Linked DNA regions of Coturnix japonica. The protein of the gene in region 3 binds, or shares a complex with, the protein of the main gene of each other region. Links are inferred from orthologs where the notes say so. Each region holds a gene or a part of one and is shown on either strand. Other genes may lie near its edges.

Evidence for each region.
Region 1: RRN3 (region 3) and POLR1B share a complex: the UniProt entries of both Homo sapiens proteins name them as parts of the pol I pre-initiation complex. The link is inferred for Coturnix japonica from reciprocal best matches to the Homo sapiens genes RRN3 and POLR1B.
Region 2: RRN3 (region 3) and TAF1A share a complex: the UniProt entries of both Homo sapiens proteins name them as parts of the pol I pre-initiation complex. The link is inferred for Coturnix japonica from reciprocal best matches to the Homo sapiens genes RRN3 and TAF1A.
Region 4: RRN3 (region 3) and POLR2K share a complex: the UniProt entries of both Homo sapiens proteins name them as parts of the pol I pre-initiation complex. The link is inferred for Coturnix japonica from reciprocal best matches to the Homo sapiens genes RRN3 and POLR2K.

Annotation. Positions count from the first base shown.
Region 1 is NC_029518.1:13,952,076-13,959,071, reverse strand, and holds the end of POLR1B (DNA-directed RNA polymerase I subunit RPA2), read right to left. Parts: coding exon 6,959-6,996; intron 6,593-6,958; coding exon 6,459-6,592; intron 6,020-6,458; coding exon 5,849-6,019; intron 5,262-5,848; coding exon 5,105-5,261; intron 4,338-5,104; coding exon 4,141-4,337; intron 3,742-4,140; coding exon 3,488-3,741; intron 1,962-3,487; coding exon 1,079-1,961; 3' UTR 663-1,078; downstream 1-662. UniProt on the Homo sapiens protein: Catalytic core component of RNA polymerase I (Pol I), a DNA-dependent RNA polymerase which synthesizes ribosomal RNA precursors using the four ribonucleoside triphosphates as substrates.
Region 2 is NC_029518.1:15,719,846-15,727,123, forward strand, and holds part of TAF1A (TATA box-binding protein-associated factor RNA polymerase I subunit A), read left to right. Parts: intron 1-52; coding exon 53-222; intron 223-605; coding exon 606-719; intron 720-2,084; coding exon 2,085-2,283; intron 2,284-2,627; coding exon 2,628-2,758; intron 2,759-3,590; coding exon 3,591-3,749; intron 3,750-4,801; coding exon 4,802-4,868; intron 4,869-6,049; coding exon 6,050-6,170; intron 6,171-7,278. UniProt on the Homo sapiens protein: Component of the transcription factor SL1/TIF-IB complex, which is involved in the assembly of the PIC (pre-initiation complex) during RNA polymerase I-dependent transcription.
Region 3 is NC_029529.1:39,116-46,578, forward strand, and holds part of RRN3 (RNA polymerase I-specific transcription initiation factor RRN3), read right to left. Parts: intron 6,398-7,463; coding exon 6,308-6,397; intron 6,223-6,307; coding exon 6,093-6,222; intron 5,626-6,092; coding exon 5,566-5,625; intron 4,068-5,565; coding exon 4,004-4,067; intron 3,499-4,003; coding exon 3,429-3,498; intron 1,908-3,428; coding exon 1,809-1,907; intron 1,444-1,808; coding exon 1,354-1,443; intron 900-1,353; coding exon 764-899; intron 1-763. UniProt on the Homo sapiens protein: Required for efficient transcription initiation by RNA polymerase I (Pol I). Required for the formation of the competent pre-initiation complex (PIC).
Region 4 is NC_029517.1:116,284,446-116,292,580, reverse strand, and holds POLR2K (DNA-directed RNA polymerases I, II, and III subunit RPABC4), read right to left. Parts: upstream 4,543-8,135; 5' UTR 4,523-4,542; coding exon 4,448-4,522; exon of another isoform or gene 4,417-4,447; intron 3,647-4,416; coding exon 3,583-3,646; intron 2,879-3,582; coding exon 2,786-2,878; intron 2,617-2,785; coding exon 2,594-2,616; 3' UTR 2,128-2,593; downstream 1-2,127. Other genes in the region: SPAG1 (sperm-associated antigen 1), read right to left, coding at 293-452, 818-957. UniProt on the Homo sapiens protein: DNA-dependent RNA polymerase catalyzes the transcription of DNA into RNA using the four ribonucleoside triphosphates as substrates.

The DNA.
Region 1 (6,996 bases), on a different chromosome or scaffold from region 3:
AGGCGGGCACGGTGCAGAGACAGCCCCTGGTGTGGGTGCCATTGCCTCACCACTCTCTAGTCCCAGTGCTGCCAGCCTCCCCCTCTCACACACAGTGGTAGCGCCCTTCCTCCCCTCCTCCCCCCCGCTACAGTGGTACGGCCACAGGCAGCGCCATGATGGAGCCAGGCAGCGCTATGACGGATCAGACAGGGGACTCAGCCCCCCCGGCCCCAGCCACCCCTTCATTTGCTGAGCTGCTGCAGCTGGTGCAGAGGGGCCAGGCCCCAGCCGGGGTGCGGTACCCCAACGCCTCACCCACAAACGACAGCCCCACAGCCTCCCGGCTCCCGCGGCCACCCAAGCCCTGGGAGAGCCACCCAGGCCGGCCCTGAGCCACTGTGGCAGGCAGGAGATCCCACCACCCCCCTGGCTGCCCTTGGATCCCCCAGGAGGACGCAGCAAGGCTGGCTGCAGCCACAGCTTTAAATGCTTTTTTTTTTTTTAAAGAAACATATAAAGAACTCTTAACATGTATAAAAATCTTGGTGCCAACCAGACGAGGCTCATACCTGAGGAGAGGCCACAGCCACCGCTGGGACTTGGGGACACAGTCTGCCCCAGGGCTGAGAACCTGCCTGTGGCCGTGCACCTCTGCAACCCAAGAAGCGCTGGAGCCAAGGTAAGAGCCAGGCTGGAAAGCCATCTGCTTTCTTCTTTGGGTCAAAATATTGAAATAAAAAATAATGACAAAAAAAAAGTGCAATGCACCGTCACTCCCAGCATTCGCTTCATGCTGTTTGTGACCTATTCATCTTTACAGCTGCTGCCAGCTCTCAGCAAACAGAAAACTCACACCGCTTTCAAGCCGGCGGCCCGTAGGAACAGTGATCCTGCTTGATTTCCACACACGTTGTAATAGCAATCTCTTACAACGTGCAAACACCAATGGGACCGCATTTCTGCACCGTGCGGCACCACCCCATCACAACGCAAACATGAAATTAACCTTGTGAACTGCCTGACAAACCTGAGAACTTAACCCTTGAAGCCCATAAGGGGCAGGACTAAGGCGTGCTTCCTCTCTCTCACTGCAGGATTAGTGCTCCAGCGTGAGCCTTAGCTTGATGTTCATGGCTGCCAGCTCGGCCAAGAAGTACCAGAAGACATGGGGCACTGGGATGACCTGGATGGTATCCATACTGCCACACAGCATGCAGGAGTACCTCCTGTTGCTTGCCACGGAGGAAGGTGGTGGGCGCTGGAGCAGAGGAGATAACATGCTGCCACAGCTGGTGCAGACATAGGCTTCAGAGGCATCGGAGCAGCTGAAGAGGCGGTCGTGCAGCAGGAAGGAGGTGCCGTGAGCCAACAACGCATCACGCTCCATCTCACCGAAGCGAATCCCCCCTTCCACGTTCCTCCCCTTGATGGGCTGGTTGGTGACGGAATCCCGAGGGCCCGTTGTCCTCACCTGGAACTTGTCGGAGACCATGTGGCGCAGGCGCTGGTAGTACACGACCCCCACAAAGATGTCTGCCTCCAGCTCCACGCCGCTGATTCCGCTGTACATCTTCTCTGTCCCAAAGAAGTTATAGCCCGCGCTCACCAAAGTCTCACCAAAGTACTTCAAGGCTGAGTTCTTCTCCGTGAAGGTGAAGGGAGTGGCATCGTAGTAGGCACCGTGCAGCGCTGCTGACTTCCCCGCCATGCTCTCAATTAACATCCCGATGGTCATACGTGAGGGGAACCCGTGGGGGTTGAAGAGGATGTCTGGAACCATCCCGTTCTCTGTAAACGGCATGTCTTCGACGGGCCACAGCTGGCTCAGGATGCCCTTCTGCCCATGGCGGCTGGCAAATTTATCTCCAACAGTTGGGTTTCGAGGAACTCTGACGGTGATGCAGGCCTTCTTGAATTTCCCAGTGCCACGGTCATTACTGCACAGCTTGATGTTGTCTACAATGCCGACCTCTTTATTCCTGTGTAGGTGGAAAAACATTGACAGCAAAGGTATCAGATGCGCTCGTCACTTTGAGCTAGGAAACGAAGCAAAGACACCAAACCACTTTTAAGTCTAATAAAATCTGGGGATCACGTTTTTTTGAAGAATATCATTCAGGGAAATCAGAGGGCGTAAGAATTGGAGCACAGCAGCCAAACAAAGGTATCACCCAAGTGACATTTGTTTGCTGCTTCTAATGCCAATGGCACAGCTGCAAATTCCACGTGATGAGGTAATGTGTCACTTGTGAGAATAAAGTACAAATCATTGAAACCTGGTTCATCAGTACCTCATCTCATCAGACATGCCAGTTGTTTTGCTTCAAGGCAGCATTTTCCTGTGCAATAAATTAGCGTTGTCCTCATGGGACGCTAGCATAAATGAACAGGTTCAGGGCAAAGCTCAGAGAGGAAAGCTCAGGAGCAGAGAGCAAAGGCACAGTGAGAGCTGAGTGGGCCCTTTGCCAACAGGTGTTTGGGGCTACGCTGCTGTTTCAAGTGAATCCTCAGCAGATGTTTCACATGCTGGATGTCTGCTGCAGGCTGAACTCTGAGTCAAAGCCTCTGCTCTCAACCCCTTCCAAGCCAAGCTTAAGATCCAAGCAGTGTGTGCAGCACAGTTAGAACAGCAGGGAGAGTTGCCCCTTCAGGTTGCAGGGTCTCTGGGGAAACTGGGGGCAGGAGGCAACATTGAGAGCAAGGAACCTCTCCATAGGAACCTAAATGAATACCTCATATAGAACCGTAATGAACAAGCGCTGTAGAGTTCAGAGGTAAAATGGGTGTACGGGTAAGGAACCTGAACTAAGGTGAGGCTGGCATAAAAGAGCTGGCAAACAGGAATACGGAGTAGGGAGCCAGAACAGGATCCACAAGGGAAGGAGCATAAGGCTGAGCTGACAGCAAGTTCTGGCAGTCCTCACTGCCACGTACTCAATCTTTCTGCTCTGCTCACAACCAGTTATCTCTCCAATGCAGTTTGAATGCACTCATTGTATAGTATTAATAGATAGCTTTCCCAATAAAAACTGGTTATTCTGTTAACCAAGCACTTCATAAGCTAATTTTCTCTCTAAGCATGAATAACAGTACTATCCTCACTCTACAAATGCTGCAGACAGGGCATGATGTTGTATTGACAACAGCTTCAGGCAAGAGACTGGCAAGTCTCTGGGGACCAAGCACCCAATTCAGTTAACATAATACTGCAGAAAACGACAGAGACGGACAGACGGGCAGCACTGGGGAGACAGCAAAACATTTCTGTAAGTTCTCTCCTTTTACCACTCCCAGACTTATTTCCTAGGATAAGTCAGATGCTGCAGCTCTTGAGCGTACACTGACTCCAAGCCACACAACATGCATCAATGTCATGCTCCATAAACACACAGACACCTTAACTGCTATGTGAGAGGAAAAGGGAACACCTAGAAGAGCATCTCATCAGGTTCCACTGCTACTGACTACTCAATATTTTGGGACAGAAGGAACAAGCTGAACTTACTGGTAGTACACAGTGAAGGTCTCCCCTGTGTTGAGATTCATATAGCTGTAGAATGGGTCCCCAGGCTGCAGGACGGAGCCAACAAAAGGCAGTCCATCAGCATCCAACTTCTCCTTTACATTTGGGTCCCCAGGCCTGATACCAAATACTAAATTATCACCTCCCCTGTTGCCTTTAAGGGAAAGGTCAATGCTCTCCATCTTGATAACACTTCCATAAGCAAACCCTCTCTCCCAGGAAGATTTGTTCACAATCTAAGAGAAAGAAAAAAAATGCCGTTAAGAACTTGTTAGTAACTTCAAAGAAAGCATTTCCATTCTGATCTGATGCACACCTTTTAACAACACCATCCTACGTTAAAAAAAACCCCAAACCTCCCAGCCAATAATCACTCCAACAGGCTCAGGTCTCTAACAATCTCATTTTTTTCAATCAATGCTGGAAGCCCACAGCCTTGCACTAGGGAGCTCTGCTCTACTCTCACTACCTTGAGCATTACTGCAGAAGGTGCATAACAGCATGTGTCAACCCTAATGGAACTGACTAGCAAAAGCAGAAAATGGGCTCTTCTCAACTGCATACCACATTTCTTCACAACTGCCCGCGCCAAATTCCTTTGCAGAACAGTATAATCCCTTCTTTTGGTGGCTTACCATTGCATCTTCCATGTCATAGCCACTGTAGGAGATGACAGCCACAACTGAATTGGTACCAACTGGGTAGCTGTCTATACCGTAATAGTCGTACATTCTGGGCCTCACCAGAGGGCTCTGAGGGGTATGGAGGAGGTACAACTTGTTATCTGAGCGGTCCTTGTAGTTATACACTGGAAACCCCATGGTTTGCTTTCCTATAAAGAAAGAAAGTTGTATTTACGTAAGATCAATTCACAGTTAAACAGTGTTCTGTCCTCCAGGCATGTTATTAAGGACAAGGCTGGAAATACCTAAAATGAGTTATCACTTGCTTGTCAACTAATTGAAACTCCATCTACATACCACATCCCAATTGCCGGCAGACAACCAAGTTAATCAAATCACTGGCAGAGAAAAAAACAAGAACTGCTTCCATTGTGCCATTTTAATATCCTGCAACAAATGCCCAGTAGCTGCTCTCTCAAAAGCTGCAGTCACAGTGATAGTGCAGCCACTGAGAACAGGTGCAAAGAAACCTCCACCACTTCAGAGCATTTACCCTGGCTGCTTGTGAGAAGCAGGTCAACCTCTGCCAGCTGGGGGATGAGAGAACTCCTGCCAGCACAGTTGTTAATACTGACAGCCCCAAGCAGCTGGTGCAGTGCCTCACACTAACCTGTGTGATCAACAACCTCAAATTTAAGAAAAAGCCTACAAAAGAACCAAAAAAAAACCCACAAACAACTTGACAAAGACTTAAGGCACTGTGAGCACTACAATTTAGAACTGCCCACTGGAATGCTGTCTGGATGATAAACTTGACTTCTTTAACAGTCACTTATTTCATGGCAATCAACTTTAGAGCTGTAAGAACTGCTGGGAAGAGTTGCCATGTGGCAGCGTGGGGGTGCACACACGAGATTCTCTCCCCACCCCCTTTCCTTGCCTGAAGACTTGCAGCTGTAGGCACTACAGTACGTACCCATCTGGCACTGGTACATGTTTCGTGGACTTTGGTTGTGATCAGAGAAGGGGATGAGGTTGGCCACCACACTCAGAATGCTGTGAGGGAAGAGCTCCTGGTGAGTGGTGACTCCAGGCACAACGTCTGACTCCATGGTGGCCACGTTCATGAAGACCTGCAAGAATCACACATAGGACACGTTGGAGAAGCAAGACAAAGCTGCCCCTGGTGACTTCTCATTTCAGTTTTAGCTGTGGTTGCTGACTGTACCTCAGTGTGCAGGCAAGTAAAACATCAGACAACTACTGAACTACTCTACCACAATCACAGACAACTGCAAGGAAAGCAGGTCTGAAAGTATGAAACTGCGATACGCATCATAGTTCCTCTCTCTCATTTTAATTGTTCCAAGTTATCAAGTTTCCAGGCAAGTCACTACTTGGCTGCTTACTGGTAATCTGCAGAATGTGATATAAAAAGCGATGAGACAGCGATCATCCACCTAAAGAAACATTCACTATGTTAATAGTGAAAGCAGACTTCACTACTTGAAAAAGATTTCTCCAGCCTACCTCTAAGAAAAGTACCAAAAACTCATTAGCTAGAAGTGAGAAAACCCTTCGGCCACCTATTCCAGCTCTTCAGCACAAGCTACCTACGTCTCATTCTCAGCTCCTTTGAGGAACACTATGCAATATACCGCTTCTATGCAGGATACTGCTGTAACAGGCAGCGCTTTATAACTGAAATATGCAAACCTACCTGTTCCAGAGTACCAATCCATTCCTTCCTTCCATACTGCAAGTTTTTGACAGGCCGCACCATTCGGCAAGGGGTAGTGAAGATGAACAACCCAGGATACAGACTGGGTTTTCCTGTCATTGGGATAAGGACCACTTCGGCCCGTGCAGGAAATCTCTTCTCTTGTGTTATCTGTTTGTGTAAAGGAACACTGATTTAGGAATACAAACCAATATTGTTTTAGTTAAGCTGCATCCTACAGGCTAGGTTCACACCCACAATGGAACTACCAAGCATGGATCCATCCATGGATGTAGCTATTAATACAAAATGGTGAAGAGCAAATTTAGAAGGTATTTCTAGTAATATCTCCACCAAGATTACTTCTACCATGCTGAAAAAATAAGTTCTCACAACAGTGTCAACATCATAAACCAGGAGACCAAACTTAGAATAAATACAAGAAAAAACAAAAAGCCTAATACTAACATGCAGAATAAGATAAATTATCAGGTCAGACTTGAAAGGCAAACAGAAGTTAGGCTTCTTTAGAACTCTGGTGTCTTTTGGTTTATTTCTGGCCACTGCATATGGAGCACATTTAGGTAAGTCACATTTTAAAGAAGACAACCTTGAATCGCCGGAGGGCTTCTGCAACCTGAGGAGCCAGGTCCCATTCGACCCAGCCCACCACTGCACCATCCAGCACCACGCGGTAGCACTCAGCGTACGGCTTGCTTGGGGTCGCATCAATGGGGACGACACCTGTGACAAGATGGGGCAGGGGAGGGAACAGCCAAAAAAGCAGACAAATGCACGTTATTTCTGCAGGAAGCCTCAATCCACATAAAACAGCTTTATGAGCCATCAGAAAAAATTCAGAACATCTGGACAGGGCAAAGTGGTAGAGGAGACTGGATGGAAAACATAAAATGTGCACAAGTGAGAATGCCATTTCCCATCCAGCCCCAGCACTCTTCTGGATGAAACAAAACTCCCATCACTGTGCTAATCACTGGAGGAGCTGCAGTTTAATTCAAGTTACTAGAACATTTTCCACATATGGGTTTGTAGGGCAGAAAGGTAAAAATGAAGACTGCTTCATTAGATAACTGAGCAAGTAAACTGTACCTAGAGCACATAACATAGGTGGAAGGTCTGTCACAGGA
Region 2 (7,278 bases), on a different chromosome or scaffold from region 3:
AACGCTCTGTTTGCTGAGTTTAGCTGACTTCTTCGTGTTTTGCTTTGTTTAGCGTCTTCCAAAGAGCACAGGTTAAGCTTCTGGAAGAGCAAGGAGCTGTGTTTGAATTACATCCAGGATGCGCTACTACAGAAGCAGTGGAAGAGAGCTGCGGAGTTCCTGACCTCCTACATAGAGTCACTGGAGAAAGACTTCTCCACAGTATTCATGGGGCCTGCAGAGGTGAGCTGCTGGCCCTTAGCACTGTTCTGCAGCTGAAAGAATACTTGCCTATAACACTTCAGGGCTATTATTTTCTTTAACTGTCCATAAGCTTAATTATGAAACAAATACAGATTTCATAAGCTTTGCTCATGTGCCATATTTGTTATGAGAAGTTGTGAAGCGCCCATGGAATGTCAGTTTAAAAAGAAGAAACAATGGGACACTGATATGTGTGTAACTGTAACAGTAGACAATGTTATACTCGTTTTTTATTTGCGGTGCAAAAGTACATTTTATTCACATGTTACAGTAGCTGTAGGCTTGATAAGATTGTATATATGGTGACTGCTCCCATTTTCATACTGAGATTTTTTGCATCTTTTTTTTCCCCAAATCAACAGATGATTTGGAGACTAGGATCAGAAATCCTGTTCAATTATTCCCACAGAAACATGAGAGAGTTCAACTCTTTCATTGAACAAATGAAAACTTTAGCAATAAAAAGGCATTTGAAGGTGAGTGTACTTAACGCTGTCTTAATGGTTTTCCCACACATTCACCTCAACATCTATTTGAGTGTTACTGTTTCTGAAAGCTCTCTTGAAATGTTACAATAGTGTCAAAAAAGATAGTGTAGCTGAGTTAATAGTTGCAAGATGTTTCAGGGGCTGTTCCATGGCTAGCCGCGTCTTATTTGGTCGATACATTTTTATCTGCTTGCAGTAACTCTTAGATTCTTTAATTGCTCTTAAAACTGTTAGATTCATTTTCATACATTCCCCATTAACATCTAATTACATGTTAAGACCTGTGAAGTCTTGTGTTCAGTCCTTAATTTGACCCCTGTGCTCCTGGTCAAACAGTTGTAGTTAAACTTCACTTGCTTTTCAAGTAGCTAATTTGTATATAAAATAGTAAAGCTTATTCTGTGAACACCTGTATCATTCAGAACCCCAGTTCTTTTCCTATGGTAACTTATTCAAGCTTATATTGTTTTGATTTCCTTGACTGTTTTTGATTCCAGATTTTTCTATCTTTTAATCTATTGTATTTGTTCAAGGTCTCCAACACTAGTTCCATACAAGAGTTTACTAACTAAAAGTTTGGACTCTCATCCAATGCCTAATCAATATGATCGTGTAGTAGGGCATTCCTTTTTCAGGTTTTTGGCAGTTGCATAGCAAATTGAAACTCGGTGTAACCCTAAATTCAGGTCACTTCTAGCTCTTCTAAAATAGATTCAGCGTTTACTAACGGTAAGCAAGGTTTTGAGCCATGTGCTTTCAGCTGCCTTGATAATAATTACAGCTGAACGTTTACTACCTTATTGATGGTTCTCACCCACACAGATTTCAAGAACCCTTTAATAATCTTTCTTCACCATCTTCAAACTGGAAAAAAATACTTAAGTTCTTACTGGAATAGGCTCCCCAAGGGAGGTGGTTGAATCTCCATCCCTGGATGTGTTTAAGAGCTGTTTGGATGTGGTGCTCAGGGATATGATTTAGCAGAGGGATTTTAGAGTTAGGGTACTGTGGTTAGGCTGCAGTTGGACTTAATGATCTTCAAGGTTTTTTCCAACCTGGGTATGATTCTATGATTCTTGGTGCACACTTCAGTCTCCTATTGACACTCGCCTTCTCCCACACTTGGTTTTTATTGTCAAAGCTCTCTATGAATACACTGTTTGAATAAAACAATACCTGTAAAACCTGCTTCGAATAGAAATATTTTGCATGTTTGCTTTTTTATTTATTTATTTTTTTATGTCAGTAATGAGTGTCTCTTCCCTTTCACTTCCATGCAGGTGTTTACTATATTATTGAGATTCTTTCTATTTATGATGTGAAACACTGTGGTATGGACTGCTTGAATTGCAGGTTTGTTTAGAGCATGCCTTTCATCTCCTATGTAATGGACTGATAGATGAAGCCTACCAAAACCTGTCCCTGGCAGAGAGTTGGAGGTTTGGAGAAAAAACAGCTGTTCAGGATAAAGAAATGAAGCTGATTCAGGCTTACAGGGGGCTGCTGGACTACTATATCTGGTCCAATCAGAAGAACATACTGTTAGAGCATGGTAAGTCCAAATACTGCTTTTGTATTGAGCTGTAAACTTCTTATTCTTGCAGGCATTGCTGTTTGCTGCAGTCATATTTCCATATAAGCTACTCTTCTGTCTGCATTTACATATGAATGCACCAAAAGGAAGTACTAGCCTTCAAAAGCTGAAGGTATTGATGGTATACAGATAATCCTGCAACAGTTCTGGTGCCAAAATAGAGTACTAACATGCCTTTTTTTCTTAAAAAGTATTGACTGGAGCCCTTTGCAAAATGTAATCACCTTGTAGGTACACCACTTCTTCAAGATAGTTCTTAACTAGGAAAGCTAACTCTGTGGCATTCTTTCATGTTTTCATAGGGAAGGATGGATTTGAAGACTTGTCTGTTGAACAGGAAATGAACAGTCGCTTTCGGAAGGCAGCAGTGAGCTTAAAGGAGATCATTAAAATACCTGGAATCTGGGATCTCTTTGTGAAAGCCTATGTGGATGTAAGAGTGTATTTTATAGGTCTCTTCCTTTTGTGTTTGCCTGTCTAATTTTCATTTAGATACAAGTCTGTAGTTCAGCTGTGTGTGTGGATGACAAGTAGTTTAAAAACAACCTCTGGATTTGATTTAGGCATGTCTGTAGGACTGCAGGGCCTGCGTAGTGTATAAAAAGGGCTTTATCTGTGAGCTGCCAAGGAAAAGAGGCAACCAACTTGCACATTCTGTTTTCCTGGTGCTAGCAGAGAAATTGGAGCACAGCTGCTTTGTTTAAATTCCTGAAAGCAAGTTCTCTTTTTGGCAGGACGATGTTTTTCTGGTGGTACTAAATCTTGGAAGCCAAACATGCGGTCCCTCTGTTTTTTTGGTGGTTTTTTTTTTTTTTTCTAAATATCTGCTCACAAATTTTAACTAAGAAGTGAATCTTAGAATTGGAAAGGTTCACTCTAAGTGCAGATACACTCAAAGAAGTCAGAGTGTTTCTTATGGAATTTTACTAGATGCTGACAGCTGCCAAGTTCTCCGAGTTCTCTTCAAAGACGTGGCAGTCTGCTTCCATTTTTTTTTTTTTCCATTGAGGAATGATGGTGATTCTTTAACAACCAGGGAAGTGCTAATGTGATTTTTCCTCTGTAGCTGCTTCTGTGTGTGAATTTTTAGTTAATTATGTTAAGAGTAACCAGTAAAATTAAAATACTTCATTATAACTCACATCCAGTTTGCTATGCTGCTAGATACAAATGGTGCTGTTGGGTAGTTCTGTAGCAGCCTAGAATGAACTGTAAGTGTTTAATTGCTAATGTGAAGTGAACTAATGACAGGCTTAACTTCTTAGCTGATGGAATTCTACGGAGACCACCAAGAAGCTCGTGAAGTATTAACGGATTATGCTTACAATGCAAAGTTTCCCACAAATCCCAACGCTCATGTTTACTTCTATCAGTTCCTAAAGAGACACGGTGAACCAAAGAAATCACTCATATCTGCTCTCAAGGTATATATAACATATAAATGCAGTCTGTGGTTGTTCATTTTGCATAGTGGTCTGTTGGTTTAGTTGTCTCCTGTTGTAGTATTTACCTTATTGTATTTTTTTAATGGGAAGCAAAGGGTTGGGGTGTTCTAATGGGTGGAGCAAATAGGATCCCTTACTGTCTTTGTTCTACATGTGTAATTGATGCACCGTAAGGTCAGTAAACAAGCTCAGATCAATTTTCCATGGCTCAGGAAGTACATGTAGGTAAACATGCATTAATTTCCATTGTAGTTTGATCTTTACAGAGTTGAATAAATGATGAGGTGCTTGCTTTTTTTCACACACCAATCCCACCTCGCAGTTAGTTTCATTGTTCTCAATAAGCAGTTAACTTAAGGTTCAGTAGAAGTTTACTTCTACTGACTGTTAGATAAAGCCCTGCTGCATCATTGCCCTTTGTGTAGCTGCTTTAGCTTCCCCCTTTTGTTGCCCTTGCGCACTGATAACTTTTCCAATAATGTTTTTGAACCTCTTTTGCCACTTGATGGCACTAAAATGCTTTTGTTTGGGTAAATGGTTTTAAAACAGCTTCATTGAGTTTAGACTTGGATCGTGGCCGTTATATGTAAAGTTTCACCTTCACAGTGTGTTATTTATTTTTCACATTAATTTTATAGGCTTAATTTTATAAGATAGTGGCAAATCTGAAAACTGGTCTGATACATCCTGCGAATGCACAGAGCAGATGGGAGCTGGAACTGGGCTAGGGGTTGCTATCTGAAAAGAAGACACTGGATATAGGCTGCTGCTGGAAACGTTGCAGTTGTTGCAGGGTTTTTCAGTAGTCATGAGGGCATTTCATCTGTATTATCACCAAGCAGTGTTACAGATGTGCAGAATAGCTTTCAGTCGTCATTATTTGTATCAAGACAATTGGGTACCTGATTGCACAGTTTTCCTACAATACTAAAGAACTCTGCAGACATTGCTGCTTTGGATTTGGTAGAAGCCTTCAGAAGCTTTTACATCATTTTAATGTATGTTTTGGGTGTTGTTTTTTTTTTTCCCAGAGCTTGCATGATATTGTTCCCTCTCACGAACTAATGATAGATTTTAATACTATGCTTCAAAAATCAAGTAAGTCTTTAAATATATTTGTTCTTTTCCTTTATGTTAATCTAGAATATTATGAAATTGTTCTAATTTGCACTGAAGTAGTTGTGCTTATTAAAAGAAAAATCCCAATGTGACTTTCTGATCACAGGAACCTTCAGTGCAGATGAGTTAAGTAGGTATTTACAGGCTGTGTAAACAAATGCATGTTGAAGTTTAAAGGCTGACCAAGCAGTAGGTTGTAATGCACAGTCAGGACCTCAAAAATGATTTGTTTGGAGGTACTCTAGTCTGAATGCTCATTTCACTATTTCTGAGGTACACCGTTCTAAAAGCTAAACTCAGTATTTCCATTATGGTACCTCTTTTCTGGAGGAGCTGAGATGGATTTATGCATTGGTTTGCTATTTATCAAAAGAACAACATCTTAAGTGAGTTTTTTGGAGACAGTTTTGGAGACTGCTTTTCCATGCTGATCAATTGCTTTCCAAAATGGGCATCTTCTTGCAACCTGGTATGTTCTAGCAAGTCAGCAGATGGATGGAATGTCTTGGAATCAAATTTATCCTCTTCTGTTGTTCCTCTTTGTGAAAAATAAAAATTCTTTTGGCTGAAACCTCCCTTTTTCTGTTCACACATGATATGCTTGTGAAATTCCTGTAGCTCTTGAAGACAATCTGATTTTTGAAGTAGTAATTTATACTGGTAAAGATTTCCAGCTTTTACGTGCTGTAGTAGGTCACTTTTAAGAACGCCTTTGGTATATTGGCTGCTGTTGTGAAATACCTGTTTTATTCATATCAGTCCAATTTCTTTGTTTTGATATCTCAGCACTTGAAATGTTCCAGGGCGCTGTGTTCTCTTCCCACAGGAAGAACATGTTGAACAACAGCACCGGCTGGAAGCACTGATTACAACAGCAGCAACTGTTGTAAGGAAGGCAGTGTGGGTTAAGTGAGTGGTCTTGTGTGCCTCTTTGAGTCAGCAGCATTTAAGGAGGGTCTCTGCAGTGAAGTGTGCTCTAGACCCATGGACACTTCCTTGGCATTCTCTCTTGGAAGAGGCAGAAAGCAGTGGGGGGAGCCCTCAGTAATAGGGAAAGCAGCGGTATGTGGGAAGGCAGTTTGGAGAATGTTTTCCCTGTTGCTTACTAGTAAGTTCGTATTAATCCAACTGATTCATTTATCAGCCTAATTTCTTTCCAGAGAAACAAAAAAGACGTCGACTGGGGCTAGAAGTTATTTTTGCAGTCTTGGATTATGCTGGCTGGAAGGAAAGTGTAAAAGCATGGAGTTGTTTGGCGAGACAGGTGAAACAAATTGTAATGTGAGTGTAACTGATGTAAGGTGCTAAAAGAGGAATGTATGTGTCAAATCTCCTCCTGCGGGCAGTTGACAAAGTGACTCTTCTGTAGTCTTTGTCTTTCATGATGGCAAGTGGAAGAGTGGGCTGGCCTGTACTGAGATCTGTGGCTGTGCTTGGCTGCAGCATGCTTTCAGTGGCAGGAAAGAAGAAATTATTACTGAGAGAAATTCTTAAATTTCCAGTATTATCATTAGCTGAATTACCAGGTGAGGTGTTTATGCAGAAAATGCTGTTCAAATGTTTGGATAACATTTACTGCCTGTCACTGTTCTCCTTCCAGGAGGAAAAAAAACCCAACAACATTGTTTGGTCTTCTGCTATTAAACATATATTGGTTGCAGCAGATTTGAGGATGAGTGTGCTGCAAAAGGGATGTGGTGCGTTGTGCTGTTGTGTCGTGTTCTTCTTTGATAACTTTGGTGGTAACTTCTTCAGAATACAATGTGTTCTTAAAAGCCAAGTCAGAGTGCCTGGGGACTGATAAATACTTGCTTGTGTGTTGGGAGGAGGACTCTGTTTTCAGGAGCTCCATCTCCAGGCAATCCATGCTCAGAAGGTCTCTAATGTCTGGGGTTTTTTTTTCCCCAAAAGTAGAGGTTTTAATTTTTCTTTTAAGCCTTGTATACTTACAATGAATCAATTTAGTACCGCTTGACCCATTTTGCTGTTTTATTGCTGCCTCTACATACTCAGAAGGCCCGAAAGTTAATGGATTAAAACTGAGAGTGTTGTTGCATATAGTTAGGAAAAATGGTACAATACTTCAACTTTGCCTGTAGTTTTGCTTTTGAGAACACAACTTCAGAGTACCTTGAAATATACAGGGCATCTTAATCACTTTATAGGAATATCACTTCCCTGTTTTCAATTGTAAAATACTGTAAGGTCTCCACTGCCGAGTTAACTCCACTGAGTTAATGGAGTAAGGTAAGTATATGAAATACAGTAGTGTTTAATTATGCATAGATTTATCCAAAGTTTTTCTTTTAAAAAGAAAATTGCTGCTTAAATAGTTCAGCCTGCAGTGTAGTGTCAAAGTCTGCCAGCACACCAAGCTGATTATAAAACT
Region 3 (7,463 bases):
GTCAAGCTAACTTGTAAGCTTACAAAGCGCCTAAAATAAAATGCTTGTAGTGAGACCTTCCAGAACTTCAATTATTCCTCATATACTTCTTTTTACATTAGATTATATCTGTGAATGTAAGCATGTGCAATACTGACAGGCTGCAAACGTGCTTCTTCAGAAGAGGCAAAAGAAAATACTAAAAAATAAAATTGCCTCACTAATGTGATAAAACAATTTTCTAAACATTCTGTTTTAAATAAGTCTAATATTCAGCCCCTTAATAAATGCTAGTGTAAGATTTGTGTTCCTAATAGATACATAAATAAAATCAGGTTTTTCCTTTAATACAAGTCCTTTACCACTTCCAACTGAGTGAAAAGCCTGGTTCGTCTAATCTACTACTTATGTTTACGATATTCAAAGGATCCACAATTCTAATACTTAAAACAGCAAAGCAAACAATAAAATACTGTGGTTAATTAGAAAGTTTTTCTGACCCCCCTAAGAAGTTTAATAGCACAGTGAAAAAAGAAAACTATTTATTCTTACTCCCAACACATTACACTTTGGGTACAGTGCCATATTTATGCAGTCAAAATGTCTCCAACTAAAGATCAGGCTGTTAATGACACCTTCAGCTTCAGTCAAAGCCCAGAAGGCACTAATAGCAGAACTCTACAACTAAAGGATGAAGACTCACTTTCTGCTGCTGCAATAGAGAATTCTTCGTATGTTTTTCCTATTTGTTAGAAAAACAAATTTATTGTTCCTGTATTCTTACCATCCACGTGGCAAACATCTTTAATATAGGCAAACAGGATGGTCATCAAAATATCCAGTCGCTCTGCAAGTGGATGGGCCATTCTCTCATTACTGGGAGAGACAACTTCGTTTTTTTTTCTTTCATCATCTTCCTCCTGGTAGGTAAGATAGTGCATATGAAGGGTGCGTAACCACTATGCCATAACTTAATTATAATTATATAGAGAAAAATGAAACAAAGTATCTATGTTCATGGTGAAGTTTTTGTTGCTGTTTTTTAAAGCAACACCAGTACAGCTCAGTCTAAGCAACATTTTTGTAAACTAAGTCAATTACAACTAATTCTTTAATAAGCTTTATATACAGCTGCCTGAGTTTTTTTCATAAGGAAACTGATCTACCATACATATTCTGGATATTTATATGATTAATTTTGGCATGGGGAGAATACATTAATCATTTGTCAGCTACTCAGGCTTGAAAATCTGTTTCATTTTTCCTGTTTACAGATCAGCTACAACAAAGCAATAATGTATTATTACAGTTAAGTTTCAGAGGATTTCAAAGGTGAAAATTCCACTAAAAAACTTAGCAAACAAAATAAACAACCATGTCAAAAAGTCCCTCCTCTGTAGACTTTTCCTCACTGTTATTGGCAGCTTCTTCAGCATCTTCAATATCTTGCTGGGGAGTACTAACCTACAAACAAGAAATTAAGTTTTATAAGACCATAACAGCAATATGAAACATTCCTGTTCAGTATCACAGAGTGGTTTGGGTTGGAAGGGAACTTTAATATCAACTAGTTCCAAGCCCCTTGCTATAGGCAGGGACACCTCCTCTAGACCAGCTTGCTAAAAGCCCCCTCCAGCTTCTCTCCCATCCCACAAGGAGGACAGTGGGTGCAAGCAAACTGCTGTGTGGTGCTTAGCCTGCCACGTTAAACCACAACAGCCCTATTCTGATGATCGTGAGTTCTACTGGAACATAATTTTTGTTAAGCTTAATACTGAAGAGTATTTTAACGTAATTCTTCTTTGAAAGACTATACAGAGCAAACTCACATCCAACTTTAGCAGCTTTTCAACAATAAGTTCCAGAATCTGAAGCCTCAGTGTTGGAAGGTACACTGTAACTCGTAGTAGGTTATGAACATAACATTCCTATAACACAAAATTAAGAGATATCTATAAGAATGTTAACTGAAAGTCTAGGATGTCAAGGATTTTTACAAAATATATTTCCTAACTTGTCATTTAAAGAGACAGATACAGGTGAAAAGTACCTTTTTCCAAGTATCTCCAGCAGAATAAGCATAAGTCATCAATTTCCATATGATTTTTTTTTTGCATAAACCTTCCCAAGAACATGAAAACAACAAGCATATTACTCAAAAATTCTAGAATCAGGTCTAGCAGCACTGTTTGAAGCGAGGCCAAGAGATCTTCATTTCTGGTTACTATAATAAACAGACAATTCTAAGTACCACAGCTAAACATCCTTAGAGTTTTTCTGATTACAATTCAAACAGATTAGAACCAACAAGTTCTGTAAGTGAACATGCACTCCCACACATATACAAACGCAAATGGCAAAAGTGCAACTTTATAGAGTAGAAGTGTCAAGCTAATACATACAAGCAGCTAAAAAGACACATTTAAGTGCACCACAGTCTCTTTGTAAGTATGTAATATAATGCAACCCTTAATTACACAAACACACACAATTTTTCAACAGGCTATATTGCTCAGCGCATATAACAGACAGCACCAGTTTAATGACAATCTATAAGCTGAAAATATTCAGCAACAATGCACGGTCAACATGTCAATTATGCTCCACTTGAGTCCCACCCTGAAAAAATTTCTCCACAATGCGCATCTCAGTGAAATACTTAAAATAAATAAATAGATAAATAAATCCCTTAACATCCTTTGAGCAACATCTACCTCATTTTGCAGATACAGATTTGATGCCCAAAGCTATTTGGATTTAAAAAAAAAAAAAAAAAAAAATCTAGCAAGAAGTGCCAAGTATTCAGTGCAGGGAGGGAAGAAGTAGTTCTTGAGAGGTTCAAAACAGCTCCATCTGACTTTAATGAGTAGAGCAAGCAAATGACAACATATCAAGTTGTAAAGAGTGAAAATAAAGACCATACAGGAACAGTAACTTTTCAAAGTCTCCAGCTTGCTTTCCACCACACAGGAGCATCGTAACAGACATGTAATAAAACTACACAATAACCTATCCTATAGATTTCATCTAAATCATCCATTGCTTTCTGTCTGCCTATCAAATTCCTTGTTCTTCCAAAGAATACTTTCTAATTTTTACACTGAGACAGGTATTCCACATTATCCTTACTACACAACTCTGAGACTTATTATCAAAGAAGGCCATCTTGTGCACTGATTAAGAAAACAATCACGTGGAAAAAGACATGCAATTATCTCATTAAACAGCTGCATAATGCTTATGCACAGGGAACTTAAGCATGTTTGGACAACCTTTCATGATACAGGCACACCTGGACATATGTTTCCATAGTTAAAAAATTACAAGAGTTTTAAACGACACATTCAAAAATCTGCATAAAATACCACCAAATCAATCATTATACGGTAGAGTGTTTTCCTATATTAAGAAGTGAGTGAACAAATAGATGTAATATTCACAGTTCTTACCAGAGTTCTTTCTGATTTATTAATGAAAGGAAATTTTTCCACAAGTATTGGCATAAGAAACTGCAGTGTTCTGCATTAAGGGGGAAAAAAAAAATACAGTTTGTTATCATGAGAACAAGCTCCAGCACTACAAAAACAGACTGGAATCAGTTTATTCTTACTTCACAGTAATGTTATTTTAAGATAACTGATTACATAACATTTGTTCTGTTACTGCAGAGACAACAGGCAGTAAACTTTTACTGTGGATTTGTTAAAAGCTACCTCAAGTCAGCTGCTATAAGCATGACTTTCCTTGTGTTTCCTATTGCTATTAACAGGATTGTCAGCTGCTGATGTCTATTGGCATTTTACGATTGGATATAACATCCTATCAGTTACTGGGCATTAGGAAGAGTCATTCAATTAAATTAAGTATTGCATTTCCAATATGGAGAAGAAAAAAATATATATATTTTTATATATATTTTTATATATATACCTTATATATATATATATATATGTTCTTGAGCTTTATATCCAAGCTTTATTGTCATAAGAAAAGAGCAGAAGAAACCAAGGAATTAAATACTTACGAAGGAACATATCTTGCGACAGTCTGCAATGCTCTGTGGCATGTATCAAAATTTTCAGAAAGGCCTAGAGAACGAAGAAGGTGCTATTATCCATTTGGTTGCAGAAAACTAACTCAGGAATCAATTAAAACAGTTCAAGTCAGTTAAACATTTTAAAGATCCCCAAGGAGACGGCATTCACTGGGTTTTGTTGTCAGGGTTTTTTTGGTTTTTTTTTTTTGCATTGTTTTTTGTTTTTAAGTTGGACTGCCCAACTACTAAAGTAACTATGAAAATTAACTCCAAGTACAATTCATGTTATGCTAACAAATTCTTAATTTGCCACCACCACCAAAGCCAGGTATTGTTGCCATACTACTTACGCTGAATGCCTAACTCGGAAACTGAAAATTTACACCCCCCAAAAAAAAAAAAATTTTAGAAAATATCATAGTATCATAGTCTCGTGCGGGTTGGAAGGGACCTTAGAGATCATCGAGTCCAACCCCCGGGATTCGAGCCTCTGTGTAGCAGAGCAGCACTTCTACCTCTTGTGCCACAGGGGGGATTAGAACTCCGAGCCCCAGTGTTGCAAGGTGGCATTCCTACCACTGCACCACCGGGGCACACTATACATTAAAATCAAGTGAGAAACTAGATAAAAATAAAAAATTATGCCTTATTTAGCAAGAGTTAAAACAAGAACACAAATAATTAGGCTTCTTTAACAATAATGAGATGAGCCACCTGAATTCTGGGAAATGTTTTTAAACTGGAAGAGAGCAAGATTTGGACTAGCTATTATTAGGAAGAAATGCTTTACTGTAAGGGTGGAGAGACACTGGAACAGGTTGCCCAGAGAGACTGTGGGTGCCCCCTACCTGGAAGCATTCAAGGCCAAGCTGGATGGAGCTTTGAACAAGCTGGTCAAGAGGGAGGTGTCCCTGCCTACAGCAGGGAGGTTGAAATGAGATGATCTTAAAGGTCCCTCCCAACCCAAACCATTCTGTGATTCTATGATTTTTTTTTCCCCTTGAATCCAAACAGTGCCACAAGCAAACACCAGAGGAATAGGTATGTCAACCCAAGCTGAAATTCAATACAGCATTCAAGATACAAAGATGCAGATAGTTAATTATCCTGTAAGAATTCAATCTGTCTAATCAATAAACACATAGTTTTCATTATTTATATCAATTGTATTTGAGTTTACCACAAGCAGACAACAAAAAGCCTCAAGAATTTCCCAAACAGACCAGTTTTATTGAAGTAAGTAAAATGAAAACAGACAACTCCTCCCTATCCTTTGGCTTTGACACTATCTAGGACTAAGAATGCTCTCCTGAACATTCAGCTTGAATCTTAAAAATACTGCACCAGTAAATACCAGTATTTTGCAAGTAATGAGGATTAACTCATAACACCATTGATTCAAGTATAAAAAAATTCCTGACTTTGTAATTTAAGGATGTACAGCTACTAAAGTTTTATATCAACTCCTGCAAAGTAATTTAGCAAAAATAAACCAACATAGTAAAAGCATTACAAAAGCATTCGTAAGCCATATTTCCTTCCATACTCACTTTCTTCATCATCATCAGAATCTGAAATGTCCACATCATCCTCTCTGATGGTTATTCGAGCTACCAAAAATGAGATCATTATTGGAATACTGTGCAAATTTATGAGGCAACAATTCCAATGCTAAATGGAAGTGCACTGACAACAGTCTTCAGTGTGACTAAAACATCAAAATTATCCACAAGACTTTCTGAAATAACTGTTTCAATCAGAAAACCAGGAGGTTCTTAAGAACATCTCATACGATCACCATTAGAGACTCTTTTTTTCAGTTGTAACATTACACAGTTCTTCCCCCTCCCAAACATCTTAAATAAACAGCCTTTAGAGTTTTAGTTACCCATTAGAATAGATCTTCTGAAGTCTAGGTACATAAAATGGTTTGTACTGCAATCCAGTCATTAAAGTTAAAGTAATCAATAGAAAATATACAATTAGATTGTGATGTATAATTCTGCATACACAACTCATATACAAAATAATTATTTTGAAATAATTAAGAATATTAAGAGGGAAAAAAAAAACTTACAAGGAACAAACTGGGATACAATCATGCTCAAGCATGGCCTAAGATGGACAGTTTGTGCTGACACCAGATTGCCAAGAAAACCCAGATATTCTTCCACTACCTCTCGGCTTCTTCTCAACCATGGCAGCTTCTGAAAGTAAGTAAAGACCAAGGTGTCAAACAGATGTTTTGAGTACTAAACTCTTAACCTTTCCATATAATAAATCAGTATTTACCAGCAAAACGCTGACCAGTTGCTCGAAGTCCTTGGTCAGATATGTGACAGAAGTTCGAAATTCATGCAGCCAGTTAATGATCTGGGCATCCTTAATATAAGCAGGAATAATATACAGGAATAATATATGTATTTTAAAAAAAATAAAATAAAAAAATCACAAATCTATTTTAATAAAAATATGACCAAAAACAATAGAATTTTTTTGAGTAGCAAAACCCACAGAATCACAAGTCAAAGATTAAGACTGTAAATTAAAATTATTTTCATACAAGCACAGAAGAAATTTCTTGAACTAAACTTGCACCCTCACCAATGAAAATTCTTTAACGCAAGAATACACACACACAGGCCGACCAACAGCCTGCATGGGAAGTTTATGTAACAAGCTGAGCAAGGTATGCAAACCTCATTCACAAACAATGTATCTGTTTTACTTAGAATCTTACTTTCCTTTTGGTTTTGCTCTTAGTTTAAGCAGAGGAAAATTCAAGTATTCAAGTAAGAAATATCTGGAAGCAGAACCAATTATACGGAGAAATTTTTACACTAATTTTGCTTGCTCTCCCCACAAGATCTGCTAAAAAAACGTGTATTTTACAGAATACTCTATTTAGAAGGAAAAGAAAATCTAGATAACATTATGCTTCCTGCAGCACCCTTCTAACAACTGTGTGGTTTAACTAAAACACTACAAAAAGGAAAAAAGAAATAGAAAAACACAGTAGCTATCAATAGCTGTAAGGAACAGCCCTGAAATTACTACTTGTAACAACTAGATACATAAGAATCTTAATGCTCAATTAACTAAGTTCTTAGTGAGAGCTGAAAAAGGCAGTAATTCACAACATAAAGGTTCTGACAGTCAGCAGTTGTGGTTTTACCTACATTAAGGAATCTGTAGAGACAGGCACTACTGACCTAGTAAAATGGTGTCTGGAAGAAACATCTCACCAAAAAACAGTTTCTCACTCTAAAGCAAAGTCAGTAAGCATGAGACAACACTTATCAGGATTCTGCACATAAGATCTGCTCATAAACAGACAGTAGCTGCTTTTCATTACTTCTGACAGTTACTATGAAGTAAAAAGCAGTTATACGTTATCCGGCATTTAAAGCAAAGGATTTGCTTTTAAGCACCAAAACAACTTGTGCAG
Region 4 (8,135 bases), on a different chromosome or scaffold from region 3:
AGATTGTGAAAAGTGCATTCTCTATACGCAGTTTGCAATTGTTTTGAGCTTTTTCGAATGAATAATAATATACAAATATGTTCTGTAGAGTTATGATGGGTATTAAAGAGTAATTAGCATTATCTCAATAAATATTAACAAAGAAAACCACAACAGAACCCTCCTATCATTTCCTCATTTAATCAAATAATCGTGTTCTACTTAAGCACAAAATGAGGTTGAACAATCAGTCAAGACTGACCAAACAAAGAGGTTACATTACTGACCACAATGAACTAGAGTCATACAGTACCATCAGTTCACCATTAATTGTTTCCCATTCCTCAGCTGTAAAATCAGCTGCTGTGGCTGCTGGCTTATCCTTTCTGAGAACTCTGCTCCCTGGAGCTAAATGCTCGATACGCTTTTCACAAAACAACATCAGGTCAGGATAACATCCCTCTTCACCAGACCTTTAAAATGAACACATAAGCAAGTTACACAGGGGAACTAAATTACGCTGCATTCCCCACAAACATCCATACTTGTCTGTATGCAGTGACTATAGAGTGTTATTTTCCTGTTCTAACTGAAATCTATCACCTCTTGATTTTGATCAGAAAATCTCAGTTAACCATTTTCCAGCAGACATACAGACACAGATCCACTGTGGACTTGAATTTCTAACTCTTCATTTAATCATCTGGACGCTTTTACCACAATTACTTTCACAGTGCATCTTAATTTCAAGGTTTTAAATACGAAAACTACAAAGAGGTTCAAGAGAGATAGAATGGGAATACAATTAGTAATGAAGTTCATTAAAGATAACGTTTACCTTAGCACCTTGAGAATCTTTTCCAGGTATGGAACATCCGTACATTTTTCAATGAACTTGTAGTCGAGATGACCAATAGGTATTTGATATGTTTTAGTAGTTCCTTGGTCCAGCAAATACATTATTGACGCATCACTCATCACTAAACATTAAAAGAAAAATAAATCTCTGGGGGCTAGAGCAATGCTAATTTAAGGAATAGCCGTGTTTTAATGCTACAAGGTACTAATTGCAGCAGAACTACTGCCTGATGACCTGATGCCACGATTTCTTCTTCACGGAGATCTACCGAGAGGCAGCAATGGCAACATAGCAGCCGTTGCTATGTACAACATGGCGGCCGGCGGCGCTGTGGGGAGGTAATAGACGGAGAAGCCGCAAGAAACCACACAGCCAACCCCTTGCGAGGAGCCGCAGAGCCCCGCCGGCTCTGTGGAGGACACGGAGTTACACGACGGCCCTGACACCCACCTACCGCGCTCCTAACAGCCTTCACCTCCGCCGTGGACGCCCGCCTTGCCCGCGCATGCACAGCGGAGCGATGGCGAAGGAGCGCCGCGTAGTGAGTGAATAGCTGAGGGGCTCGGCCGGCCCTGTCAGCGCGGGGTCGCTCGAGCTGCAGCTCTCCAACGTTCTGACTATTAGGAACATATAACACTGCTTTAATTTATATTTTATTAAATATAATTTCCATAAAATGGTTCTTAAAAATGATTTGACTTCAGAGAGGGTATTCCCTTCAGAAATACAGCCGTTGAGTTTGAGCTTCCATAAAACATCAGCTTTCAGTGTAGTATTTCATCCAGTCTAAATCCAGTCCGACGCTCTTCCAAGTGCCCTGAGCCTCACCACTGCCCACAACCTTGGGCCCACTAAAACCCATCCCTGTTGCTTTCTGCAGCAGCCAGCACACCCCCTAATAGTGGTATCATACTGTACAGATAACAGTGAAATGACATGTTTGTCTTTCAACAGCCTCATCAGCACTGGAAACAAAATTTGGATTTGCAAGCATTTAATCAGGCTAAATTAGCACCACACACAAAGCAGCAGTGTTTTTTAAGACAAATTGGCGCTATGGGTATTTTAGTATTAAATATTCTGAATATAAATGTTCTGAACAGGAAAATGGATGCAAAAAGTTTGGGCTTATCAGTACAAAACGGCAACCACTTCTTAATACAGACTCATGAGAAATCATCCGAAAAGCAAAATGACGTTATTTCAGTTTTACCTTATCCAAGGTTTCTTTATACTGTAGACCTACTTATTTTAGTGAGTACAAGCAAGGTCACAAAACAGCCTGAGAATCTCTATTTACACATTTATTTTTATCCTGATTTGGGTCCTGTCGAGTTCAAATCCAAATTTCAGACCTGATTTTGCGTGACTTTCAATATGTCTTCACTGGGATTTATTCAAACCAAGATTATCTTATGCAGTTCACAGGAGTCCAAAAAACACTGAAGAGCTGAAACACAGGTAAGGCTTAGGTGTGAGCTGTGAAAACAAGGTTAACACTTAACTCAAAAATGAATATAATACCAATGAATTTAACAGAATGCTGCACATTCTGACTAAAGTTTAAGGAAGAAACCCATTTCTAAAAGTAGTATAGACAGAATTGAGATGGTATGGCAAGTAGTATCACAGTGAAGTTTAATATTTTAATATCTTAAACCACTAAACTATGCATTTATACACCAATGGATTTACAGAGCAAAGTTGCCAGAAATATTAAACTGAAGTATAAAATTGATGTATCTTCAGGTCAAATCACCGGGCATCAAAAACCACCACTGGAATTGTGCAGTTAAAGAAAAATGCGTTGCAGTTCAAGGAAAGATCAGGGGAGGAAAGGGGTCAAGGAGAACAAAAAGAGGGAATGCATAAATCTGAAGTCAATTTTCTTACACAGCTTGCCCCACAGCTTCCCAAATGCATTCGACTGCCTTTGTAAAAGGATACATCTTTTTGTTCTTTTCTTGTACATTATTCTGTACCCACACTCTCGGCATCTGATCGGATCTCTTGCCTTTATTTCATTTTCTGTATGACATTCTGATATGATGGAGAAGGAGAATAGCAATGAGTGAACAAAAGCAGCATATCTAAAGCACAGATAGCTTTCAGATGTAACAATGGTCTAATTCCTTTTACTAGCAAACAAAGCATAACAGAAAATAATTGCAGTGAATTTTAATAAGTAACTGAATTATATTAAGATACTGTTAAGGAAAAAAAAAAAAAAAAGAATTGGCAAACTTAGATTGCTAAAAAGTATCCAAACATTACTGTACCATTCCACACTCCACTAATGAAACCTTCCTCTCAGCCCCTCCGAGCCACCAAGTTTATTTTCTTAAGCCTAAATTTTTCTGAGGCTTTTAAAGTGGTTACTCAAAAGCTCCAATTTTCACTTTATTAACTTATGTTTAGGTAGAGAAAATCTGACAACTGTGCATTAGTGAAAGTTGAATGACAACACTATTTCCAAAAAAACTTTGTCTCCAAGATGCAATATATAAAAGTTCTGCTATCATCCTCTAGAGATGCAGGACCCCCACACAGCAACAGAGGTTCTAGTGAACGACTTCCACATCAATAACCACAAGTAATCCATGCATATGGGAGCATCAGTGCATAAAGCTTAATGCATCATCAGGATCCACAACCCAGTTATGTAGATTTCTGTACTCTGTGGCACTATGACTGCACATTCCTCATTATTAGAGCATTGAATACCACTAATGTCTTTTCTTTACCTCCACAAATGTAAATCATTGGCTGCTGCTTTGGGGGCTGAACGTCCTTCTGTGAATCCATGTTCTAAGCAAAAACAACAAATAAAATACATGTTTTTTGTTGTTGTCTTACACAAATATTTCAATATCTCCATCTAAAGTTGACAGAAATTGAAAAAGTTCTTTTAAAATAAATACAAAAATATTCAAGCTCTGTTTAATATATGCTACATAAGATGATACACATTGGAAAGGACTTCTGTTTGTCCTGGCACGCTAACCTTTTGCCTTCAGGTTCACCAACATTCCTTCACAATATCAGACAACTACTCCACAAACAATTCATTTTTTAGCAACCCCCACCTAACATGTAGGTATTACTGCAGACCTACGTTTTAAGGTTGTGACCATACAGAGAAAGAAAGCATTTTTTCTCCCCTTCTTGATAATACCAGGACAAGGGGAAATGGATTTAAGCTGAAAGAGGGTAGACTTAGGTTGGATATTAGGGGGAAGATCTTCACTAGGAGACCAGTGAGGTCCTAGAACAGGCTGCCCATGGAGGTTGTGGATGCCCCATCCTTGGAGGTGTTCAAGGCCAGGTTGGACGGGGCCCTGGGCAACCTGATCTAGTAAATGTGTATGTTTGGTGGCCCTGCCAGGCAGGGGGGTTGGAACTACATGATCCTTGAGGTCCCTTCCAACCCAGCTCATTCTATGAGCCTATGATTCAATGATCCCCCCCCAGCCCGCCTCGGTTCAGCGCCAGCCACGCCTCCTCCCCACTGACCCCCAGGGGCTTGGTCGACCCTTTCCCCACTCCCCCCTCACCCCGAATCTACCACCACCACCAACCCGGCAGGGATAAGCCGAAAGCGGCACCAACCTCCACACTCCTCGCCGTCCCCTCGGCGCCGAATGATGGCGTCACTACGCAAAGCCGGAGGGGGCGGGTCTGCATCGCCGTCCTTAAGGCGCTGTGTCGGGTTTACAGCGGATAGCGGCTGATGGAGCCTTGGGGGAGTGAGAGTTGGAAGCGCTAGTGAGCTGAGCCTGGCGCTGGTAACTAAATCTCGGTACCCTGCGGTCTGTGCCATGTATTCCCGCATTGAAACAAACTGGCAAGCCGCGGTGCTGTCAGTCACCGGCTCAGCCCTACAGCTGGGCGAGTGCTGGGTGCCCCTTAGGCGTCCCTGTGTGAGTAATGGCACGTCCTCAGGTACGTAAGAACGTATAACAAATACTGCTCTGTAGATAACATCTCCCTGATGTGAGGAAATGCGTCTTTCCGAACGCCGAATAACAACCGTCTCCTGGGGAAAGCTAGAAGTAATAACAACGTGCTAAGGATTTCTAGGCGGCTCATCGGCTTTGTCTTGCTGCTGTGCGAAAATAAAGTTAAGTGTAACTTCTTAGTGCCGGAATAAAACACATGTAAGAATAACGGGACGTGCACGGCAGTGATGTTCGCTGCCCCGGGTCCTCCGAGGTGGGAGCTGCTGCCGGGAGCAAAAATCAACCAACCAAAACGGAACGATCCCTTCCTCCGGTGATGGACACAAAGTAATTAACACCTCACAAGTAACTAATCACTGAAATTAAAGTAAAGCCGATAATCTTTCCCCGCACTCGTTTTGTATTTTAAAACGGGTTTGACGAAATGATTAAAGCATCGAGGTGATGCTTTAAAACCTACTTACTAATTATACCCCATGAGAAAAAAATATATATCGATTGTCCCGAGAAAATCATTCATTATCTTGATTATATCCATCATTTAACTGCTCCCCGGTGGGATGGAGTCTTTTTAAACGTCCATTACTTCTGTGCCTCACGCCGCCTCCCTCGGGGTATAGCCCCGTTCCGACGGGCTGATAAACGCCGGTCCTGAAGAGAAATTCTTCCGACTGGCGTGAAACTGCTACAGAAAGCACTTTGGGAAACCCTGGATTCCATTTCTAAACTCTTTAATTCGCATTCTAAAATGGAACGAGGAACCAGCGCAAAAACCCTAATGTTTTTACCCGTTACAGTTACCCTCCGGTCGCACTACCCGTACACCGAGACGCCCCGTTTCCCCGCTCTGGGGGGGATGGAGCCCGCCCTGCTCAGCCTTAGTTACCACGGAGAACCTCCATCTTTCTGCCCTGGGTGGAGGCGTTACATTCGGAGTTACTCCCAACGATTTAAAGCATGTTTTATCTCACAGTGTTTCTGGTGGAGCCGTAAGCGTAAACCATGAAAGAAAAAACAGAAGTTCTGTATGATTATCTAGCTCCTGAGCTGTCGGGTACAAATAAGCTAATTAAAATGAATTAATCAGCACCCTTACATCTCAGATTTTAAGCTCTTGGTGCAGACAACGTTCCACCTGTGAGGGCTCGGGCTACCCGCTGAAGGTGCCTCCCGCCCGACTCTGAGAAGCTGTGAGCAGCGGGAACGCCTCAGCCCGGCTCCTGAGAGAGACAGAACGGGACGGGCAGAGGGGCCGCACCGGGGCGCTTTATGGAGGGCTGGGAGCGGCGGGAGCCGCCGAGCTGGAGTATAAAGTACGATGAGAGCACGGAGCCCAGATGGTGCCGTCCGCATCCTTGGAGGCAGCGCTCCTCAGGCCGTCCCCCGCCCTGCTCTCGCCTTAGGGCTGCGCTACTGGGGTGGCAGAACGGAGCGGTTGGTAAAGGCGGGCAGTTCAAACCCAAGCGAGGGAAAGCGGCTGCAGCCGCACGTGAGAAGCCGGTGTGGGTGGAGAGAAGCGAAGCGGCTTCTCACTAAGGGCAACGGGCCCTGAAGCTGGGCGGCGAGCTGTGGAGGCGGCAGGATCCCCGCCTTTCCCAGCCAGCTGGCCGGGAGGGAGGGCAGCCTCGCCTTTCATCTCCTTTGGCAGCCCCGCCGACCTCCTCAGGCTGTTCTCGGTGGTGGGGGCCTCTATGGTCGGTTTCTTCAGCCCAGCAGTGTGCTAGATAAGGAGGTGAAGCTGTGTGTTCGTGTCCAGCAGTCCAGGTGACTGAGAGAGCCCCCTCACCCCGACACTGCTCCCTAGGTAGCATCAGTTATCCTCATTGCTGGTAGGTGGATGTGGCAGTGAAAGCATGTATAGACAGAGGGGAAGCTTTCTCAGCTGTCGTCCCACTTCTTATTAACGTTTCTTTTGTACCTCTCTTTTCTACTCGTGCCCTGTCTCACTTTAGGCTGTCGGTAAGGGATTAAATAGTGCTTTGAATTCAGTATATTTGCTGTGGAGGATCTTCAATTGCCTCACAAATAGGGTAAGTTAACCCCATTTGACAAAAAGGATTGAACTAAGGTATCGATGGCATTAGATCTGGGAGCTCTAAGACTAGAGACTTCAGATAAAGTCAGTTTTATTGCAAGTATGATTTCTAATGAAACATCTGATAAAGTAGATCTGTATTACCAAAGCTTCACCTTTATCTGTTCGGTTAACAGGATGGACAGTGACAAATAAGGGTAGAAAATATTTTGTTAGAGGCAGGTTTGTACAGGGTGCATTACCAAGGAATGTAAGTTAGAATCAAGCTTGGGTAGCTCCATTCTAGAACTCATCTGTGGTACAGAAGCCATTCACATTGCTTTCCAGTAAACAGCATTCTTTCCTCCTCCATTTTAGAATGCTTTCTAAGCTTAGGTGTGTCATATATTATTCTCAATCAAATGTCCAAATGCTGCCCTTATTTAGTTTGGCTCTATGAACATGAAATTCTTTGTTCTGTAAACTGCCAGAAAGTTTGCTGTTGACTTGTGGGCCAATTTGAAGACTACAGAATTGGAAAAAACTATTAGAGAAATTGAAGGGACAGGCATGTCTTTTGTTCCTTCTTCTCTAGCAAGCTTGATATGTCCTTACTATATGACTAGTCTGTTCTTCCTCGCTTGTCTGTTTCCTGATGCCTAAAAGGAACCTAACACTTCCAGCAATTACTTCAAGATCCTGAAGTAGTAAACTCTCGGTTTTATACATCAAAACTGGTAGATCAAATAAGAGTGCCTTATAAAGCAGTAAATGAGTCTGAAAATGTTTTTTGAGGTAGCTTTTATGAATATAACTAGTATTTTTTATGAATATAACTAGTATACAGGCAAAATCCATATAGGAAGCTCGGAGGCTCCTCCTGCTGGACGTTGGCTCACTGACATTGTAGTTTTCACTTTTGCTTAAGGTTTCAACGCTGCTTTAACTCTGCCGTTCTGATCATCCCAACAGCAGTAAAAACCTTTTTTTCCCCTGCAATTTTATGCTGCTTAAAAACGTAATATATACTTTGTGTTGTGGTATTTCAAATTTCCTCCATTCTCATTTTGCTAAATGAGTGTATCCAAGGAAAGAGCAAAAAGCAATGAGGAAAAGCAGGTGCAAAGGTGAGGTACTAGAGTAAGATGAAAATAATGTACTCGTAGAGATATATGGGAAAGGGAAAATAACCAGGCCAAATTTGTCTTCTAATTCTAATTTTTCTGCAAAAATTCTTTTCATTTAGGTGCATTCTTTGATTTAAACATATCTTGTTTTGTACTGCCATGAGTCTGGTTCCACAGACCTTTATGTCAGGGTCTCA